3 linked regions of the Canis lupus familiaris genome follow. The protein of the gene in region 3 purifies or fractionates together with the protein of the main gene of each other region. This does not show direct contact. Links are inferred from orthologs where the notes say so. Each region holds a gene or a part of one and is shown on either strand. Other genes may lie near its edges. The genes, in order: CCP110, CEP97 and KIF24.

Region 1 (3,648 bases), on a different chromosome or scaffold from region 3:
ACATTTGTATATACAGCAGCTATGTTTTTGGTATAGTACTAAAAGGAGTTTTTGTTTAGAGAATTTAAGAATAAAAATATATCACAGAATGATAGGTTTTACAGAGACTGAAGAAATCTGTTTGTTTGATTTAAAATTTCTCTATATCTGCATATAATTAATTCATTACTCTCTAGTTTAACACTGTACATGCTCTATTAAATGTTGGAAGTTTTAAGACTCAACAATCTCATTACTAGTACATTTGATATATTCCTTCACTGGACCAATAATTATATGCCATTTTGTTTCAATAATAGGAAACATCTAGTAAATCCAAAGTCTACCCTTATTGTGCTGCACTGTATTTTTTAAACTTAATATAGTCATTACAATCTGCAAATTAAAATCTACTACCCACAGAAAAATGAAGGTAGCAATTAGTGGGAAACAGCCTAAGGTTTGTTGTACGTGTATCATCTAGTATGAATTATATAAACTATAAAACAAACCCTAAGGAAAAAAAAAAAAGTTAAGATGTAGCCAGCAAAACAGAGCTACATAGAGCAGAAATCATTTGTTCAACATAATTCGTTTTTTCTTTAGTATGAAATGATCCACACCCTAAAACAAACTGTTTATAGAAATTTATTCTTGGGATCCCTGGGTGGCGCAGCGGTTTAGCGCCTGCCTTTGGCCCAGGGCGCGATCCTGGAGACCCAGGATCGAATCCCACATCGGGCTCCCGGTGCATGGAGCCTGCTTCTCCCTCTGCCTGTGTCTCTGCCTCTCTCTCTCACTGTGTGCCTATCATAAATAAATAATAAAAAAAAAAAAAAAAAAAAAAAAAAGAAATTTATTCTTTTTTTTTTTAAAGATTTTATTTATTTATTTGACAAAGAATGAGGGGGAGAGAGAGAAAACACAAGCAGGCAGATTGGCAGGCAGAGGGAGAGGGAGAAGCAGGCTCCCCACTAAGTCAGGAACCCGAAGCGAGGACCCAATCCCAGCGTCCTGTGATCATGACCTGAACCAAAGGCAGATGCTCAATCCTGGTGCCCCTTTATACAAATTTAAATTCAGCTAAATAAAAATAATTGCAAAAGGCGTGAATGTATTGTTTAAATGGTTTCAATTTAGATCTAAGATGCATCTGGACAATTCTACTTACATAATCTAAATTGCACTTGTGTACCTAAGAAGAGAATTTTCACACACACACACAAAAAATGGGGGGCAGTTATTTACTTTAGCAGAGAATGAGAATAAGGTCATTGACTCAATAGTCTGATTAGTTCAGAGGTAAACTACAATGGCCAATTCTATTATTTTGTCACTGAGAATTCCGTGTTTTTAGAGTCATAAGACACAGACAATAAGCAATTATATTCAGGGAAGGGCTCCATTGTCTAAGTACCCTCTGATTCAAGTACTGGGCATCACTAACAAGCAAGTGAATGTTCTTTGGAGTAACTGAAATGGAATATCACAAACCACTAAGATTCTCAAACATAACAGTAAAATATATTGGTAACTAACTAGTAAGCACAAACATATTTCTGAAAAAGTATCACTACTGCTTACCTCATGATTTCTTAACTATAATTTTAAAACATCTACATTACACACCTGAACATTTTCAAGAATCTCCTGGACCCGAGTCAATAAAGCTTTCTTCCTATTAACATGCTTTCTTGTTTCTACATCAAGTGCTTTCTGCTTCTCTTGTTGCATTTCCTTTCTTTTCTCAATGTTAAGCTGCAAAACATCAGAAATATGTAATTATTTCTCATAAATTAAAAAATGCCTTAAAATCAGGAATCTTTGAATCAGAATGATTAAAACATGCAACAGGTAAAGCTATAGGAAAAGAAATCTGAACAGTGGTTAGGGGGAATGAGTGGGATGGGGCAGGGGAGATCTTTTTGTGGGTATGAAAATGTTCCATTTGGGTGTGAGTTTCACAAGTGTATGCCATATATCAAAACTCAGGGAACTTTAGAACTTAAGATCTGTGCATTCTACTGTATGTAAATTATTCCCAAATGAATAAAAAGTTAAAGAAGAAAAAAAAAAAAAAAAAAAAACCTGTTCACTCATCAAATGCTCTAAAATGAGAGATAAACTGTTTTGGCCACTGCTGAGCTTATCATTGGCAGTATCTTACTCCACAGGGTCAGATTCTTCAATTTCTAATGTTCCAATCAGCATACATTTTATCTCTTTGCTACGTCAAGAAAATGTCTAAAGGCTTAATGATGAAAGAAACAGATAATGTTTTCTTTGCCTACAAAATGAGAATATGTTAGATCCCAATTCACTGTACCTTCCAGTAAAAATATAATTTACTTCAACAACTGGAATTTCTAAGCATTACATCTTTTTAGTGAATTTAATTTTCTTTTTTAAGATTTTATTTATCTATTCATGAGAGACGCAGAGAGAGAGGCAGGGAGATAGACAGAGGGAGAAGCAGGCTCCCTGCAGGGAGCCTGATGCAGAACTCGATCCCAGGACCCCAGAATATGACCTGAGTCAAAGGCAGACGCTCAACCACTGAGCCACCAGGCACCTGTGAATTTAAATCTTAATTATTAAGTTCTAAGAGGTTTAGTCACTGCATTAAGAAGTCAAGTCTTGGGATCCCTGGGTGGCACAGCGGTTTAGCGCCTGCCTTTGGCCCAGGGCGTGATCCTGGAGACCCGGGATCGAATCCCACATCGGGCTCCCGGTGCATGGAGCCTGCTTCTCCCTCTGCCTGTGTCTCTGCCTCTCTCTCTCTCTCTCTCTCTCTCTCTCAATCTGTGTGACTATCATAAATAAATAAAAATTTAAAAAAAAAAAAAAAAAAGAAGTCAAGTCTTATCTTAGACCAATATAAATGGAAAACATGTCATAGGGACGCCTGGGTGGCTCAGCAGTTGGGCGTCTGCCTTCGGCTCAGGTTGTGATCCCAGCATTCTGGGATCGAGTCCCACATCGGGCTCCCTGCATGGAGCCTGCTTCTCCCTCTGCCTATGTCTCTGCCTCTCTCTCTGTGTCTCTCATGAATAAATAAATAAAATCTTAAAAAAAAAAAAAAAGAAAACATGTCATAAAAAATTATTCCAGAATTATACTATTCATCTGTCACATACAACATAAAATCACGGACAAAGGTCTATAAGCATCAGATTTTGCTTATAAATAAGTAACTGATGGAGTCACAGACCCTAAACAACAAAGCTCAGATATTTTGGTTCACTTTAAACTAATCAAGCAATGTTACCAAGTAGCTGGTAAAAATGTTTTAAAATTTTTATCTGCATGGTATCAAAGAATCATTCCACAGTTTACTTGCTAATCACAAAGGGGGGAAATGTATATTTTCAAAAGTTATCTGGCAGTCAGCACTTATAAAAGCAAGTAAAACTAAACATCACTAATAGGGAAACAACTAGAATTATGTAACTTCTGATTTAACTTAACACGGAGCATAGGGCATCAGCTCCAAAGAGTTCTTGCCAAAAATGTTTAACCTGACTCTAATCAAACTTTTATTTTTTTTCTAATAAAACTTTTATTTTTTTAATTTTTTTTCTAATAAAAATTTTAGACTTCATTTCCAATTTATAGGAACTACAGGAACTAGAGGACACATAAAATTTCATGAAGAAACAATCAGACAAA
Region 2 (4,341 bases), on a different chromosome or scaffold from region 3:
GAAGGACAGCTGAGCCTTTTGCCTATAAAAGAGAATGTTAATAGGTGCCTGAGTAGCTCAGCTGGTTAAACAGCCAACTCTTGGTCTCAGATCGGATCTTGATCTCCGGGTTGTGAGTTCAAACCCCGCATTAGGCTCCAAACAATCAATCAATCAATCAATCAATCAATAAGAGTGTAAGGATAAAGTCACCAGAAATTTATAGATGGTGTTGGAAGCCGTTTTATGACAGTATATAAAATACTTTTAGAGGCTTCTGTATATTTTCTTCTTATTCTAAGAGTGTTTGAGCATAGTTTAAGGTGTGATATATACAATGTGTTACAAAGAACCCTAAGATGCCAGCTCAAGAATGCCCTCCAAGAAAGAGTAAAAGCCCTAAAATCCTTAAGGTCTAGTTTTCTGCTTTTCCTCCACAGAGCTACTCAGGCCAAACTTAATTTTGAAGACCAGTGAAATAAAATCTTCCTAAAATGCTTGGGAAGGTACTATAAATCCTGGGGTTCTGTGGATCAAATTCCTGCTTATAAATCTTGGCCCCATCTTCTACTCATTCCAGCTGGGCCTTATCGCCTATAGAAGCCAGGTCGTTTTCTTCTCTTTTTTTTTTTTTTTTTTTTCCCAAATGATCAAACATCTGTTTAATCAGGAGTGATTTAAAACAAAGAGAGCAAATAATAATAATAATAATAATAATAATAATAAACAAAGAGAGCTGTATCAATGTCATAGCTAAGTTCATCAAGCCATGGGAGCCCGAGGCGTCCATCTGCCCATAGTGTATTTAAACAATGTATTCCAAGTAACCAGGTATTCTGAAAAACTGGTAAGAGTTGGTTGGAATGTCAAATTCCTCCCCTTTGCTTTTTTTTTTTTTTTTAATTTTATTTATTTATGATAGTCACAGAGAGAGAGAGAGAGAGAGAGAGAGAGAGAGGCAGAGACGCAGGCAGAGGGAGAAGCAGGCTCCATGCACCGGGAGCCCGACGTGGGATTTGATCCCGGGTCTCCAGGATAGCGCCCTGGGCCAAAGGCAGGCGCCAAACCGCTGCGCCACCCAGGGATCCCTCCCCTTTGCTTTTTGATTCCACGCTGATCTCTATTAACTCATTCTTATTTTTTAAGATCTTATTTTTAAGTAATCTCTATGCCCAAGGTGGGGCTCAAACTCACACTCCCAAAATCAAGAGTCACACGCTCCACTGACTGAGCAGCCAGGTGCCCCTCTATGAGCTCATTCTTGAGACTGGTCCCAGCATAACCGTACAGCTTCCAACATCTTAACATCAGTCAGCCACCTCGTTGCACTTTCCAGATCTTTCCACCTACCACTTACCGATGCTTTTTAGAGGGAGCAGCTTATACAGGCAGCATCAATCATTGCATTTTTGTTTCCTAGTCAAATCCTGCAAAACGCCATTCAAGGACTGCCTCCTTCCATTACCCCCCAACATGCTGCTCCTTTCTAGCGTCACGGGGCTCAAGCTATTGAGGCACTGCCCCCCCCGTGGGCTTGGCCAGGGCTCCCTTTCCCAAGCCTCGGAGCAAGGGCTTTGCCTTTCACTGTTCCACCACCTGCCCCCGGGCTGCAATAGGCGGAAGGTGACGCCTCCTCTTCCCAGACAGGCGGCTGTCACTTCGCAGGGCCTCGGCGCGTACTCACTGGGGATTTCGTAAACTCTACACAAGTGCGTGTAAATGCTCCGGCATACTCCCTAGCGCAGAAAGAGAAGTCCATGAATGCCGATCAGTGCAAGGCGTGGGAGCCACTTCAGATGGCATTACTATTTTCCAAAGCTGAAACCATTAAAATTTGATTTTGCTGGTGAAGTTCGTGGGGCAGCACGGAGCTGTGTGACTTGAAGTTTTACCTGTGGGTATTGGCTGTCGGTCACCGGGCTGTGCACGTCCCACTCGGCGCGGCAGGACCACGCTCAGGACCCCCGACCGCAGGAGACGCCACGACCGCGAAACCGACCGCGCGCCCCGCGCCCCGCGCGCCGGCTCCGCCTTCAGCGGAAGGAGGCGGCTGTGGCTGACGTCATCGCCGAGCGCCGGGGTTACGGAAGGGACTCGGGGAGGGGCTCGGCCTGCCGGCTTATAAGGCTTCTTCCCATGATGCTCTCCTTCTCTTCGCCGTCTCGCCGTCTTCCCGGCCGCCGCAGCCATGAAGTGAGCAAGACCCCGGGCCGCAATCCGCTTCCATCCTCGGGCCGAGCCGCCTTCGCACGTCCTGGGCTCGGCTGCCCCTTGCCGTCGACACCCCCCCTAACGGGCTCTCTTGGCTTTTTGTTACAGGGTCGAGCTGTGCAGTTTCAGTGGGTACAAGATTTACCCCGGACATGGCAGGCGCTACGCCAGGACCGACGGGAAGGTGAAAGGCCGCTTGCGCCCCTAGGAGGGGAGCGGCCCGGTTGGGTCTAAGCGTGTGCACGTCCCCCCTCGCTCCCGGCCCCTGAGGCGCTTGTTGCGGGCGCCGCGGGTGCAGTGGCTGTTAGGATAGGAAGCCTCGGAGTGAGCCGATTTCCGAGGCTGGACGTAGTGTGAGCGAGGTCGGAGGTTAGGAGTTTGGGAACTCCGGCGGCCCGGGGAACGGACGGCCCAAGCACCTGGCTATGCTGGGGGCACCAGGCCTCTCGGGACCCGGGTAGGGACCGGGCTGGATGCCTCCCGGGATGCCCCGCCCGTCCCTGCCCCGGGAGCTTCGGTTCACCGGCTTCCGTGTCGGCAGGACGGATGCCCCAAGGCCTCGGGGTGCCACCCGCTCCTGCCGGCCGTGACCCGCACACAGCCTTTTGGTCTCTGGGCCAGGGAGGCGGTAGAAGTGAGAGTCTGCAGGGTTCCAAGCTCAGCCTCCCGCTTGGTTCAGTCGAGTGGCTGAGCTGACCGCCTTGGACGTGTTCCTGCAGGTCTTCCAGTTTCTTAACGCAAAATGCGAGTCGGCCTTCCTTTCCAAGAGGAACCCTCGGCAGATCAACTGGACTGTCCTCTACAGAAGAAAGCACAAAAAGGGACAGTCGGTAAGTTAACTGCAGTCTGGTCTTGGGGGGGCTCTTAAATTTAAACTGAGCATCAGGTGCCGCCCTGTAAAATTGTAAAGGAGACAGGACGTGAGAGTGCTCTTAGGCTGTAAAGCATCAGTGAAGCGAAGACGACTGGTACGCTCGTCTCCTTATACATCAGGCTCACGGGAACGTCGAGTTGAAATTTAGAAGCATCCGCTTGCCAAAGTAGGTAACTCCTATTAAGTATACATCTGTAGAAGTCATTCAGAGGTTCCAGTGGGTGGAAGTTAAGTAGTCTGGTAACTTGGTTTTGAAGGTTTACAGGATTAGTTCTAAGGGCTGTCACTGGAATCTTCAGCATCTTGCTTTGTTCTCAAGATTGTTTTTTTTGAAGCGCTCTTTGACCTTGATGGAGACTTTTGAGGAAAGGTTTTTGTGCTCTGGCAGTAGGATTAGTGTCTAGGAAGGCTCAGAATATTTTAGTGAACACCTGGGTGAAAGACACCAGTAGGTATTGTGGGAGCTCAGATGAAGGAGAAATTTATTTCTAACTTAGATTTGACACACCCATTAGGATAGTCCGTATCCAGAAAAGGGAAGATTACCAATGTTGCTGAAGGTGTGGAGAAATCAGAACTTTGGTGCATTGCTGAATGTGAGATGGTACAGGCACTGGAAATGGTCTCACAGTTTCTCAAAAAGCTAAATGGAACTATATCCAGCAACTCTACTTATAGGAGTATACCCAAGGAAACTAAGCAGGAACCTAACACAAATAATTTTTTTTTTCTTGTTATGATTTTGACTTGATTCCACAACCATGATTTTGACAGCACAGGCAGCAGGAGAGGGAGAAGCAGGGAGGCCAATGTGGGACTCTGGGGCTCAGGGCTCCTGGGATCATGACCTGAGCCAAAGGCAGATAGATGCTTAACTGACTGAACCATCCAGGTGCCCCAAGACAGATAACTAATATACGAGTGTTTATAGCACTGGTTATTCACAATAGCCAAAATATGGAAACAGCCCAAATGGCCTATCCATGGGTGAACGGATAACAAAACATTACACACACACAATGGAATATTATTCAGCCTTAAGAAGCTGGTAACTAGCCAATATAATAAACCTTGAAGACATACTAAGTCAAATAAGCCAGACACAGAAGTACAAATATTGTTTAAGTTCACCTTTATGGGGTGCGTATAGTGACAAATTCATAAAGGCAAAGTAGAGATTACTAGAGGCTGGGCAGTGGAAGCAATGGGGCATTTGGAGTGATGAAAAAGTTAGAGATGGGATCCCTGGGTGGCGCAGCGGTTTGGCGCCTGCCTTT
Region 3 (3,648 bases):
GCTGCTGGAACTGCTGGTGATAAAAGCGCAAGTGTTCCTCCCTCTCCTTTTGATGTGAAGGGATGTTTGTCCAAGTTTCAGAGGCAGACCTGGCAGATGTGCTCCCCTGGCTGCCCTGATTGTGTTCTGCTGAGTGCTGGGGCCTGCCAGAAGAGAGCTCGGCCGGTGACACTAGCTGCTTCTGCACAGGCCGCACAGTCTGTCCTGGCTTGCACTTGGAGGGCAGCTTACCATGTGCTGGGGCTTCTCTTGGGCCAGGGGCCCTGCTTTCCCACCTGTGGGCAGTTTTGTTGCCCATTTGATTTTTCTCAGAGCATAATGACACAGACTCTTCTGCCCTTTTTCTGGCTAAATGTCCAGACCGTGTAGCTCCTCTGGGAGGGCTAGTTTGAATGCCCCACTCTTGGGGAAGACTCCTTCTGGATCCACCCCTTTTACCGGGAACTTTAGGTACAGGAGCAAAAGGGATGTTGGGTGGGTGGCTGGCCAGAGGATGGGCTTTCCCTCTCATAGAACCAGGAGATGCTGTGAATGTCTGCTGAAGTCCCAGCTTGACCTTTTTGGGAGAACACTTGTCCCCTGGCAGGGCCATAGGGGAGCTCTGAATTCGTTTTGGAGAAGAATTTCCAGAGGTCCGATTTTGACTGGTAGCTGAAGCACAACATTTAATGCCTTTCTTTAGTTCTTTGACCCTGTAAATTACCATTTTATGTTAAATGTATAGTCTTGCATGCTCCTTAATTCCTTTTTATACTTTTCAAAAACCAAAGAAAAGTATTACTAAAAAAGATGGTGTAGCCTGTGGCTATAACATACCCAACATTCTATGATCAGAAGTTCTGGAAATCACCTCAGTCCCATGGGATGGGCCAGGGAAGCTAGTCTCAGAACTGTACTACATCTAGGTAGGGCCCACACGGGCCTTCTTGAAGATGGGCCAACTCAGGAGCCTGATGTCACCTACTACTCCACAGGCAGAGCCCACTTTTCCCACAATCTACCTCCCTTCAGGCTTCTCTAAGAAAATGAGTTCTTCAAACTTGTTGGGTGCTCAGGAAGCAAAACCCTCTGGAAATAAACAGGCTTATGCTAATTAAAGGAAAAGTGACTTGTCTATTCCTAGTGTTTCTCAACCTTTGCACTAGTGGTATTTGGAGCCAGATAATTCTTTTTTGTAGGGAGCTGTCCTGTGCACTGTGGGATGTTTAGCAGCATCTTTAGCTTCCACCCACTAAATGCCAGTAGCACTTCTCTCTAGTCATGACAATCAAAAATGTCTCCAGACATATACTCTATTTATTCCAAATGGGAATTTTAGAGAGGATGGAAAATCCAGAATTAGGTCTCTGCTAGGATTCCATTGTCAGGATAGTCTCTTAGCTCTGTGATATTTAAAAATGCTCTAAGAATTTAGAATTACAAGGTGACATCAAGTAAAAATGTGACTCTTCAGTGGTTTGTAAATTCTTCATTAAAATCCTCTAGGAGGGAGCAGTACTTCTGCCTGGGGGCTCCCATTAAATGTCTCTTCCCTTTTTTTTTTTTTTTTTTTACTTTACTTATTTGTGTGTGTGTGTGTGTGTGTGTGTGTGTGAGAGAGAGAGAGAGAGAGAGAGAGACAGAGAACATGAGGAGAGAGAGGGGCAGAGGAAGAGTGAGAAGCAGGCACCTCGCTGAGCAGGGAACTCGATGAGAGGCTCGATCAGGACTCTGGAATCATGACCTGAACCAAAGGCAGATGCTTAACTGACTCAGCCACCCAGGTGTCCCTCCGTTGTTTTGGTTTTAATCCAATCCTTACTTGTAGCCAAATGACTCCTCTGGCCATTTCTGAAAACCAAGATAATAAGCCTGATACTGAGACTTTTTTTTTTTTTTTTAATATTTTATTTCTTCATGAGAGACACACACACACACACACAGAGAGAGAGAGAGAGAGAGAGAGAGAGAGAGAGAGAGAGGCAGAGACACAGGCAGAGGGAGAAGCAGGCTCCATGCAGGGAGCCTGACATGGGACTCGATCCCGGGTCTCCAGGATCACGCCCTGGGCCAAAGGCAAGTGCTAAACCGCTAAGCCACCCTGGGATCCCCTGATACTGAGACTTGATTTAAATCTTCCCTTTAAGTCTGAGAGCCAAGGCAGGCAGGTAACATAGCTAAGCAAAGAGATGTAGGATGTGACTAAAGACACATGTGGGGACGCCTGGGTGGCTCAGCGGTTGAGCATCTGCCTTTGGCTCAGGGCATGATCCCGGTCCCAGGATCAAGTCCCACATTGGGCTCCCCGTGAGGAGCCTGCTTCTCCTCTGTCTTATTCTCTCATGAATAAATACAGACATACAGAGAGAGGCAGAGACACAGAGAGAGGGAGAAGCAGGCTCCATGCAGGGAGCCCGACGTGGGACTCGATCCTGGGTCTCCAGGATCAGGCCCTGGACCGACTAAAATCTTAAAAAAAAAAGAAAGAAAGAAAGACACATATATCCCACAGGCCTTTGTTTAGGTGTTGCAGTAGGGCATACATACAAGGAAATAAGCTGAGAGGTACCACAGTAAGTCTAGATGGTTCCAAGTTACTTCTTGTTATAAAAATCTTAATTATTTTAGTTTCATTAAGAGAGAAATACCAAAACTTCTCCCTAGGAGTCACAGTAAATAATTCTAGAAAGCTGAGTGCCAGAAGGAATCCTACAGGTAATTTGGTCATTGATGCTAAATGCTTTCAATATACTCTCCCTGTCCCCAAAATCACTCCTATCACTGAGCTCTTCTGATAGATGTATACCTATTAGGGGTCTAGCTGGAACTTTATCTCTGGAGTCCTTAGCAACATTCTTCTAGTATATAGAAAGAAGAAATTTTATATCAGAAATTTTTAAATAAGCAATAAAATCATTGGTATGTATATAGATTATTACCTAAATTTCATTAGGTCTCATTTAAGCACATAAAACAAACGGCTTTCATTCATTTTTTTTTTGTTTTTGTTTTTTTTTCATTCATTTTTAATAATTTATTAGACCGCTTCAAATTGGAAAAGATTTCTATTATACTTTTTCTGTTCTTTTTAAAGTTAAACTTATGTCACATAATTTCTCAATTATACTTAATACTTCTCCTATGAGAAAGGGTTATTTTCATCTTCCTTTACTGAGGCACTAAGAGAGATGTCTTGTTCTCTGCTCTTAATGATGAAGTTCTTACTCTAAGCAACTGGTAACAATGTCTGTGATTTTGGTGAGTGGGTGGGCTTATGAGAAAAGATTGGTTTACTATTAACTGTTGAAGCTGGCTGATGGATACATGGGGGTAAAAAATTTCAAGCCATATTGGTTTTTTGGAAACAAGTTTGGATCATTTCATATCTTCTATCTAATTTCAGTTCATGAAGTAGCCTTTTTTCTAGATTTATTTGAGACAGACAGTGAGAGAGAGCGTGTGAGAAGGGGGAGGAGCAGAAGGAGAGGGAAAGAGAATCTCAAGCAGATTCCAAGCTGAGTGCAGAGCTGAACTCCGGGCTCTGTCTCATAACCCTGAGACCATGACCCGAGCCAAAGCCAAGAGTCAGATGCTTAACCAACTAAGCCACCCAGGTGCCCTGTGAAGTAGCCTTTCTTCTAGCAGTACTAGTGTGCAGTACTAAAATAT

Evidence for each region.
Region 1: the proteins of KIF24 (region 3) and CCP110 purify together in Homo sapiens (co-immunoprecipitation; 4 studies listed by BioGRID and IntAct, with this or other methods). This does not show direct contact. The link is inferred for Canis lupus familiaris from reciprocal best matches to the Homo sapiens genes KIF24 and CCP110.
Region 2: the proteins of KIF24 (region 3) and CEP97 purify together in Homo sapiens (co-immunoprecipitation; 4 studies listed by BioGRID and IntAct, with this or other methods). This does not show direct contact. The link is inferred for Canis lupus familiaris from reciprocal best matches to the Homo sapiens genes KIF24 and CEP97.

The regions. Positions count from the first base shown.
Region 1 is NC_049227.1:25,967,965-25,971,612, forward strand, and holds part of CCP110 (centriolar coiled-coil protein of 110 kDa), read right to left. Parts: intron 1,738-3,648; coding exon 1,609-1,737; intron 1-1,608.
Region 2 is NC_049254.1:8,434,887-8,439,227, reverse strand, and holds the start of CEP97 (centrosomal protein of 97 kDa), read right to left. Parts: upstream 2,910-4,341; 5' UTR 2,375-2,909; coding exon of another isoform or gene 2,299-2,374; 5' UTR 2,173-2,298; coding exon of another isoform or gene 2,168-2,172; 5' UTR 1,872-2,167; exon of another isoform or gene 1,664-1,871; intron 616-1,663; exon of another isoform or gene 420-615; intron 1-419. Other genes in the region: RPL24 (60S ribosomal protein L24), read left to right, coding at 2,168-2,172, 2,299-2,374, 2,910-3,020. UniProt on the Homo sapiens protein: Acts as a key negative regulator of ciliogenesis in collaboration with CCP110 by capping the mother centriole thereby preventing cilia formation. Required for recruitment of CCP110 to the centrosome.
Region 3 is NC_049232.1:51,217,910-51,221,557, forward strand, and holds part of KIF24 (kinesin-like protein KIF24), read right to left. Parts: intron 693-3,648; coding exon 1-692. UniProt on the Homo sapiens protein: Microtubule-dependent motor protein that acts as a negative regulator of ciliogenesis by mediating recruitment of CCP110 to mother centriole in cycling cells, leading to restrict nucleation of cilia at centrioles.